Linked DNA regions of Caenorhabditis elegans. The protein of the gene in region 2 purifies or fractionates together with the protein of the main gene of each other region. This does not show direct contact. Each region holds a gene or a part of one and is shown on either strand. Other genes may lie near its edges. The genes, in order: lsm-8 and popl-5.

The links.
Region 1: the proteins of popl-5 (region 2) and lsm-8 fractionate together in Caenorhabditis elegans (co-fractionation; one large-scale study listed by BioGRID). This does not show direct contact.

The regions. Positions count from the first base shown.
Region 1 is NC_003282.8:6,324,726-6,330,251, reverse strand, and holds lsm-8 (U6 snRNA-associated Sm-like protein LSm8), read right to left. Parts: upstream 3,727-5,526; 5' UTR 3,720-3,726; coding exon 3,636-3,719; intron 3,409-3,635; coding exon 3,293-3,408; intron 1,144-3,292; coding exon 1,047-1,143; 3' UTR 773-1,046; downstream 1-772. Other genes in the region: Protein seu-1, read right to left, coding at 1-92, 240-485, 599-613; sqd-1 (RRM domain-containing protein), read right to left, coding at 4,817-4,941, 5,019-5,526.
Region 2 is NC_003281.10:11,484,667-11,488,850, forward strand, and holds popl-5 (Ribonuclease P/MRP protein subunit POP5), read right to left. Parts: upstream 2,680-4,184; 5' UTR 2,660-2,679; coding exon 2,501-2,659; intron 2,277-2,500; coding exon 2,147-2,276; intron 1,145-2,146; coding exon 1,058-1,144; intron 1,001-1,057; coding exon 900-1,000; 3' UTR 813-899; downstream 1-812. Other genes in the region: nars-2 (Aminoacyl-transfer RNA synthetases class-II family profile domain-containing protein), read right to left, coding at 3,740-4,184.

The DNA.
Region 1 (5,526 bases), on a different chromosome or scaffold from region 2:
GTCTCTCTATGTCTCTCCCCACTCTCATGCCTTCTCGATGACGACGTGACAGATGCTGACGTGGCTCCACGTGAAGATCCAGTCGATGTGACCTAGATTGATGAGATTCGTCGCGTTTCAAGATACAGCCCCCGAAGAAATCGGTGGGGGAGGATAAGTTTCAGTCAATAATCCAACAAATTCCATTACAGAAGAGGTTACTATAGAGATATTTTGGGTGTGAGTGTGAATCTACCAACCACTGCGTCTTTTGACTCCTTTTCCGGTGATCGATGACGTCGAACTTCAGGCGAACGTTGGCGATGATCCTGTGAACGTCTGACTGGTGAAATTGCTGAAGATCTGCGAATCGGCGACATATCTCTGCGTTGTGGATAATGAGCTGGATTTTGAAGACGGCGTCCGCCACCACCACTACCACCACGACCGCTAAATTGTGGTGTACGATGATCACGGAATGTTGGTCGACGATTGTCGTTCTGGTTCTGGAAAAAATGTTTATCGATTTTTACTTTATGCTTTTATTCTGGTAGGAAAGTTGAAAAACGCGCAAAAACTCTTGTTCAAAATTATCCTTTCCCCATTCTATTTAACTCACTCTGATACTGCTCATTTTGCAACTTCGATCCGTATATTCCGTTGAAATCGAGCACTGGAATATTTTCTGCAAGGTTATTTCTGTGAAATGGCAAAGTTCAACGAGGAAACGATATTAAAAAAAGAAATGTTAAACCGATAAACAAACGGTTGAAACACGAAAAAATACAATGACGTTGCAATTTGAATAAATGCATATTTAATACATTAACTATTAAAAACAAAGCAAATAAATATGTATAAATTTTCACAATATTTGAGAGGAAATTAGAGATCCAAAAATGGTAAAGAAACGATGGTATGAATACAAAACCGTCAAGGAAACAAGAAAAGAATGGAGAATAGTTTGGGAAAAATGATTTAAATGGGGAGAAGAAATGGTGGGGGGAAACGATGAGAATAACCAGTCAATACAACGCGTCAATGCAGAATATCGATTTGTGTGGAAATTATTGGGGAATCCAAATTGGTGCAAGTGGGGCCGCTTTCACATTTTCCAGATCAACGCGTTTGTCGAGTTCTTCATCGATTTCACCGATAATCGCTCTGAAAAATGATAGATTTTCAAAAAGAAACATTTGGAAAAATCTACAGTAGTTGCAGAATTGGTCTTTATATATATATACATCATAGCTTTAAAAGTTTAGTTTCAACTTTTGCAATGAAAAAGTGTTCCGATAATTTCTCCACCCCTCTCCAGAGGGAAACAGAACAGGTTCCGAACACTTTTTTCATGGAATCACATTTTCTTTGAACAAAGTTCGAACGGAATGAATTGAAAGGTGTGAAATTGTGAAAGTTTCGGACATTTGACGCATGTCTACATTAATCTTTTCCAGCTATATTACACTGACGAAAAGTGAGAAAAGATTTCATAAAATTGTGTTTTGAATGGGACATGAATAGGGCCAGAAGGGGTATCCTATCCAAAAATAAACTATTTCGAAATATGAGTATTTATCACTTGACATTTGGAGTGGAGTATAGAGAAGAGTGGTGTATCGGAAACGAAAAATCAATAAATATAATGAAACTAATCAGAAAACAATTAGGTATTGAACAGAGACTGGAAGAGCCAATTTAGAGACTTCAATAAAATAATCAATCGCATTCGCTCAACGAGGAGTTTTTTTTTTAAAGTTTTAGTTCGTTTGGAACTTAACTGAATATGTTTTAACTATAAGCGCTTTTCAGATAGAAACGACAAAGTAAAACTGAAAACTGAAAACCTAGTAAGCAAGTTGTGAAGCTCCGACATAGAATAGGAAAACGGATACTTTTTCAACATTTTTCCCATCGCGTTGTCCATTTTCGTATTCGTTCTCTCGTTCACTATAACTATTTCCCTCTTTCGTTGTTTTTTTTTGTTGCCGGCGAAAATGTGAAGAGTACAAACAAAATAAATTGCTGGTGCTGCTGCAAGGCTTCGGGCAATCATATTGGTCAAGCATCAAATTGTGATTGAGGGCGAGAAAATGCCGAACGATTGGAAGAGATGTTTTGACACGTCATGCTTCCCCGACTTTTCCGTGTTTCCGACCGTAACAGAGCACAAGAAACGACCAGTTGCTATGTTTTTAGACGGCTGCCGAAAGCTGAATGATCAAAGGAACAACAGAAGCACTTGATCTGGTTGTTATAGAACATCAGGTACCAGGACTACTTGCACCTTTCTTTTTTTTTTAAATGATGACTCAATGTTGACTGGCGAAGGTATGTCGACGGAACGTTATAGAAAATATTCAACTGGAAGAAATGAAGTAAAATCAATTTGATGTTTCTGAGATGATAACATTGACCCGTTTTGAAGTGAATTGAACGAGAAAATTCCATTCTCAGCACTGATAGTCAACGACCACAATTAAATCTTATCATCGCATGGGTGCAACATTATAAAAAACGGATGATTAATGTCATCGGAAAAGATTGAATCGAATAGAAAAAAAAACTCTTGATGATAATTGAAATTAGGTCGATCTGTTTTAACACAGAGAAACTATTCTAACGCGACAATTTAAAAAATCGATAATTCATTTGAAGCAATTGGTCCGTAGAGCACTCCAAAAGAAAGAACAGAAGAGAGAGACCGGGTGAAATAGAGAGTACATAATGACCAACGAGTTTTTAGATTCGAAAAGATTGAAGAATGGCGATAGAGCGAATTTGCAACAAGCAAGGCGATGTGAAGCTTTTTATAAGGTTTAATGGGGCGATGTGAAAAAAAAATCCAGATAAAATGCTCCAAATGTTCAACATTTGTACCCGGTCTTTTATTAAAAGTCCAACATCTCCTCTCAACAAGAGAAGACCATGGATTTTGAGCAATAAAAACTGTCTTGGTTTTTAACACTCTCGTACATGATCAAGAGCTTCTTTGCTGAAGCAGGCGGCTCCGCCACTACTCAATTGAAACAATTGGTCAGTTTTTCGATAATGTGCACGGAATGGAAGGAAAAGCATGCCGAGTCCAATGTTTTCGAGGGTTTGTTGATCGTTTGACCCACGGATTGGGTGGTACGGGAACTCGGAAGTAAAATTCATCGGAATAAATGAAGTAGATATTCAAGAAGAGACATTTCTAAACTCTTCATCAACAACTAATTTTAGTCGCAGAAAACCTATAAATTCCAAAAGCAGAGCACCGTGACAAGGTAAAATCGATTTTTAAATTATGTCCCGTCAATTTTCAACTTACACATTCTCTCCTCGAATAATATATAGTCCCAATGGTGTCGTGAGCACACCTTCCGTCTCAGAATACGACCTTTCGTGAGCATCTTCAATCACCAAGTTGATTAATTGATCGAATCCCTAAAATTGTATAATTGAATAAAATATTGAAATTTTAAAAGGTAACATAATTTAATTATTTAATCCGACACATAAGCTCAGTCTTTTTGAACAATTTCTTCAAAGTTGGGATTCAAAATCTCGTGTTTTATAATAATCAAGATGTGCTGCATTTTTGAAATTTCTTGACAAAGGCTCGAACCTTTGTCGCCAAGTGCAGAAGCAACATTTCTTTCTAGATATTTTACCTTCAGAAGTCCAACGATAACCCGACCATCACCAGTGACCACGTTCACCATCCGATTCATGTACGCATCTAGAGTTGAAGTCATATTTTATCTGAAAATTGACTTCTAAATATTGAAGTTTATTGTTCCCAAGTGAGATATTTTTCACGGCAACCCACCTGTTCGCATTCAATTCATGAAGCATAAAAATTTAATGATAATATAAGAACAACTAGTCCTCAAAAATTTCATTCTCAGCTTAATATCAACACAAATGTTTGACATGAATCTATCATACATTAAAAACGAATGTGACAACAAATAACATGTCAAACGAAGAGGCAGTTATTAGAATCGGTTGGGGGGGGGCTTTTGGGAGCGAATTTACGGGTGAGATTGGCAAAAAACGAAGGAGAAAAAGGGAGAAGCTTTTGTTGGGTGGCTGGGTGTTGTGAGATTAGACGAAGACGGGACACCTGACGATTCATCAGATACACTTCAATGAGATGAGGGAAATTAACAACTAACTGCACAATTCAATGTGAATATACTTGACAACTACAGTGAATTGCACAGTCTAATTGGTTACCAGTTCCTGAACAAAGGAAAAAGCACCATAACAACAACTAAAAGACAAAAATTGGGGGCGAAGCATACAGACTTTAGGGAAGAGAAGTAAAAATACAGTTTGTTTTCTGCCGCAGAATCGCTCAAAGAAAAAACGAGCGAAACAATTAAAACAACAAAAAATGACTGAAAAAACTGATGGAAATAAAGTACTTCTACACATCTAAAAAGGCGGGTGGATAAAGTATTATGTTCACAAGAACATCATCTAAAACAACAAAAGTATGTTATTATTATTCCTGGAGTTATTCAAATCAAAGATTACCAACGGAAAAAAGTTGAGAGTCGATGATAGTTTGGGTGAGAATCAGAGAAACAAAACAAACTGGTTCGATATAAAATTCAACCTCGGGAACAACACATCTCAGATCGTCATTGCCAAAAAAGGAATTAAAGAAAAACGCGCGTTAGAAATTTAGGGTCGATTTGTAACTGCTTTTGATTGAGTCTGGGCGTGAGGACAAAACAATTTGGACATTTTTTGAAAGATTAGGTAGGAAGGAAACAGGAATTCTGAAGAGGACTGTGATGGAGGCATTTCAGATGGTGATTGAGGTGATGTTCTGAAGGCACATTTAGAACTGTTGGGCTTGAGCAGTTTGTTGTTGTGGCTGCTGTTGGAAGCGTGGTTGGCCATTGTTGCCCTGTCTGGCTCCTTGAGCTTGTTGGTAATCGAATCCACTGTTATTTCCTGCAAAACCTGATAGAATAAGTATACTGATGCATTCCTTGTGGAATGAGTCACAAGACATGGAATCAAATAGTAACAAAACTAACTCTGGTATCCGCTTCCGTAACCTTGCGATGATCCGCTGTTGTTGTGATGTGCTGCACCTTGTTGGCCGTAATAACCGTTTCCGTACCAGTCTCCCCAAGCTGCTCCAGTAGCTCCGTATGGCATAGCTCCAATTTGTCCCCATCCAGCATACCATCCCGAGTTGTTATTTCCACCACGTCCACCATACATTCCGCGACCACCTGGCATACGCCCTTGGGCGCCTGGGAACCGTTTTCCTTGTGGAACTGCTTTTTTCACGTCACATTCGCGAGTTCCGAAGGTCTGTTTTGTCTGGGAAGATGCTTTGTCTGCGGACTCCTCCTCCTCGAATACGATAAAAGCGAAGTTGCGACGAGCCTTGGTCTGCTTATCGAATGGCCATTCAATGTCGTCGACCTTGCCGAATTGTTCGAAATGAGAGCGAAGATCTTGCTCGCTGTAGTCCGATGGGAGTCCTCCAACAAACACCTTCTTGTTTTCCCTCGATTTTGCTGGCTTTACCTCGAC
Region 2 (4,184 bases):
ACCACCGCCTAACTAAGCACATACGAATGTTCCATACTGCCTTCCTTATACCTTCCTTCCGCCTTCCGCCTTCCAATGCGCCTACATGGCTACTGAAAAAAAATAAATTTTTTCTCGAAAATTCTAATATTTGTGGAAAGATGAGTTTTTCAGAAATTCAAAATGTTTGGGGTTACTGTAGCTGTATCTAAAAAAATTTAAATTTTTCTGGAGAACAAAAATCGATTGAAATTATGTTTCCCCCTAAAAAATTTTTGCATGCCCATATCTACATGCCTATATCATGCCTACAGCACGCCTTCTGCCTGCATGCGTGCCTCATGCCTTACAATGCGCCTACAAGCTTACCTAGGCTTTTTCATGTCTACTTTAGGCCTACATTTGCACCTACTCGCCTACATCATGCCCTCCAATGCGCCTACATGCCTACCTACATGCCAGCGTGCCCACAAAATGAGTACCTTCGCCTACCTACGCAAATACGTGCCTATATCATGCCTACATGTTACAAACTGCCTACCTTATAACTTCCAGTGCGCCTACATGCCTACCCGCCTGCATCATGCCTTCCAATGCACCTACATGCCTATTTACATGCCTACACGCCTACATTATTAAAAATCCGAAATTCTTTAAAAAAAGTTTTTTGTGTGGTTACTGTAGCTAAATTTTGAATTTTTTACGATTTTTTGAAAAGGAAATTTTATTAAAACATAATTGAATTTTTCTGAAACTAAAAGAATCGAATTTCTGAAGAAAAAACGTTTTTTTCAATTTTTTTTGAATTCCAAAATTTCCAACATTTTTGAAAAAAAAAATTTTTATTTAAAAAAAATTAAAAATTGCAGAAAAAAGTTAGCAGCATTATACATAACAAAATTAAAATTTCCAGACGATTTTCAGCTAGTAGTTGCCTGATCCTTGCGCTGCTCGTCGCTGAAAATTCGAGCCGGTTGACCGCAAATTTGATGGATTGCTTCCAGAAGTTGGGTTCGAGTTTCTGGAAACAGTCGACAATTTCAGATATTTTTGCAGCAAGATTTTGAGCTGAAATTACCAGTTTTTGTGCATTTTCCGAGAGCATCGTGAAGCTCGTCTCGGCGGCTTTTGATGAGTCGTTTCTCGCAAGATCTCATGCTTCTGCCTGTAAATTTATACATTTTTTTAAAATGAAATTTTTGGAGAATTTGCGGCGATATTTTATCGATTTTTTGACTTTCCAGAATTCAAAAAAAAATATGAATGATTTGATTTTGATTTTTCTTTGAAAAATTGCAGAATTTTTCGGATTTTTTTAAATTTCCGGATTTTTTTTCTAATTTCAAGAAAAGAAAAAAAATTTTGACCGGTTTTTTTGAGAAAAAAAAATCCAGAATTGTTCAATTTGTTTTGGAAACTTTCCAGAACTTTTGTGATTTTTTTTTTAATTTCCAAAATTTTTCAATTTTTCATTTTTTGTTGGATTTTCTTACAAAAATTCCCGATTTTTTCAAACAAAATTTAGAATTTTTGGGATTTTTTTTTTAATTTTGGATTTTTTTGGATTTTGGATTTTTTGAGAAAAAAAATCAGAATTGTTCAGATTTTTAGAAAATTTCCACAACTTTTGTAATTTTTTGTTAATTTCCAAAATTTTTCGGACTTTTTTAGAAATTTTCAGATTTTTTTCAAATTGTGCAGAATTTTTGGTATTTTTTTTCTTGGATTTTCTTCAAAAAATTCCAGAATTTCTGGAATATTTTTAAAAAATGCCTGAATTTTTGGGATTTTTTTTTAAATTTCCTGATTTTTCTGATCTTTCAAAAAAAAATCCAATTTTTCCGATTTTTTCAATTAAAAATCCAGAATTTTTTGAGCTTTTTTTAAAATTACAATTTTTTTTCGGATTTTTTTGAAAAAATTGGAATTTTTTCAAAAATTTCCAGAATTTCTCGGAGTTTTTGAAAAAAATCAGAATTTTTGGGAGTTTTTGGAAAATTTCGAGAATTTTTCGGCCTGTTCCTAACAAATTTCAGATTTTGAAATAATTTCCAGAAAAATTTTCGGATCTGTTCAATAAAATCCAGAATTTTTCGGATTTTTTTGGATTTTTCAAAAAAAAAAAATCAATTTTTCGGATTTTTTTCAAAAATTTAAATAATTCTACCAATGAAAATAGTCTGCAAGACCATTGGCTGCTTATCAATTTTATGAACACATGGAAGAATTGCTCCAAAATATTTATTTCCGCCTTCGGCCACTCGGAGTACGATCACGTCTTCGTCGAGAACTCGAACCTGGAAAAATTTTTATTTAAAACTTTTTTTTTTTAATTTTTTGAACATTGTAATGCTAATTTTGCTTCTAGTATTTGATTAAAAAAAAACAAAAAAAAAATTCTGAAAATTAAAATTTTGAAAAAAAAAAATTTTTTTTTCAAAATTTCCGTAGTTTCTCAATTTTTTCCTAATTTTTTTTTCATTTTTACCACAAAATGTTAAATTTTTTAAAAAAGCCGTACCGAAAGGCTCATTTTCAAAATAGAATATCCAAAATCTCCAAACATTTCCGACGTGAGTTTCATGAGTTCTTGAAAAATCGACGATTTTCTTGGTGTCGGTGGTGAGCCATCATTTGTGAGCATTCGAATCACGTAGTAGCGATTTTTGATTTTTACCATTTTTTTTTTGGATGAGAATGCTGAAAAAGGAGAAAAAATTGAAAAATTCCTCAAAAGTCGAAAATCAAAAAAATCTAGAAAAAAAAATTTGAATTTGATGTGAAATTATGAATTTTTAAAAAATGAGCAATTTATTACAGAATCACAAAATTCTGAGAATGCGTATTGCACAACATATTTGACGCGCACAAAATATCTCGCAGCGAAAACTACAGTAATCCTTTAAATAAGACTACTGTAGCGCTCGATCCCGTAAATCGACACAGCCGCTACAGTAGTATTTCAAAGGATCACAGTAGTTTTCGCTACGAGATATTTTGCGCGTCAAATTGATTGCTCAATACGCATTCTCAGAATTTTTTGCTGCCGTAATATGAAAAATTCGAAATTTGTCCAAAATTCTTTTTTTTTTGAAAATTGAAAAAAAAAGTTGATTTTGATGAGAAAAATATGAAAAAAATGTTCTAAAAAATTGAGAATTCAAGAAAAAATCCGAAATTTGTCCAAAAAAGTAGGGAAAAAATGCAGAAAATCAGTCAATCAAAATTTCAAATTTTAAAGAAAATTGAAAAAAAACACAATTTCTTTAAAAAATAATTTTCTTACTTCTCAAATTTCTAAAAATTCGGAAAACTAGTGTAAGAACATTTTAAAATTGAGAAATTCATGAAAAACTAAAAAAAAAATCAGAAAAACAAAATAAATGTTTGCAAAAATTTCCAGATTTGTGTAGAAAATTGAAAAAAAAACCACATATTTCTCCAAATTTTTTACATTTTTATGTATTAAAAAAAATTATAAAACCCTAAAAATCGAAAATCTCCGATGATTTTGAAAATTGGAAAAAAAAAATCCAAAACTTGAGAAATTTGTGAAAAAATGAAATTTCCACAAAAATTGATTTTTTAGAGCAAAATGTTTTTTTTCCAATTTGCAAATTTAAGGATTTTCTAAAAAAAATTCTGAAAAAAGAAATATTAAAACTGTGTAAAACAGTGAATTTTTAAGGGAAAAAAAGGAAAAAAAATTGCAAAAAAAAAAAATTTTTATTAAAACTATAATCCTAAAAATCCCAAAATTTCAGCACTGACAATGCCGATGCCACCGCGGAAAAGCCACCGTATCCTTGATATTCTGTACACCCAACAAGTACTGTAGCATTCTCTCGAATCCAATTCCAAATCCTCCGGTAGGCGGCTGTCCTCGCCTCCGCATCTCCAAATACCAATCAATTCCACATCCTCGACGCTGAAGCTCTTCTGCCGATTGCTCACGTAGCGATCCTCCAGCGAGTTCTCCGATTCCTGGCACAAGTAGATCAAATGATAGGGTTAGCTGTCCGTCTCGAGCCATATAAAATGGCTTTTGGCCCACTGGGTAGTGGGTGACAAAGATCGGATGATCGTCGTGAAGCTTCACCAAATCCAGCTCGTTTTTCTTCGAAAATCCACTTTTTGCCGTCACTTTTGAGCCTTTTAAAGCTAAAAGATGCACGGCTTCATCGTATCTGATTCGCGGAAATTTG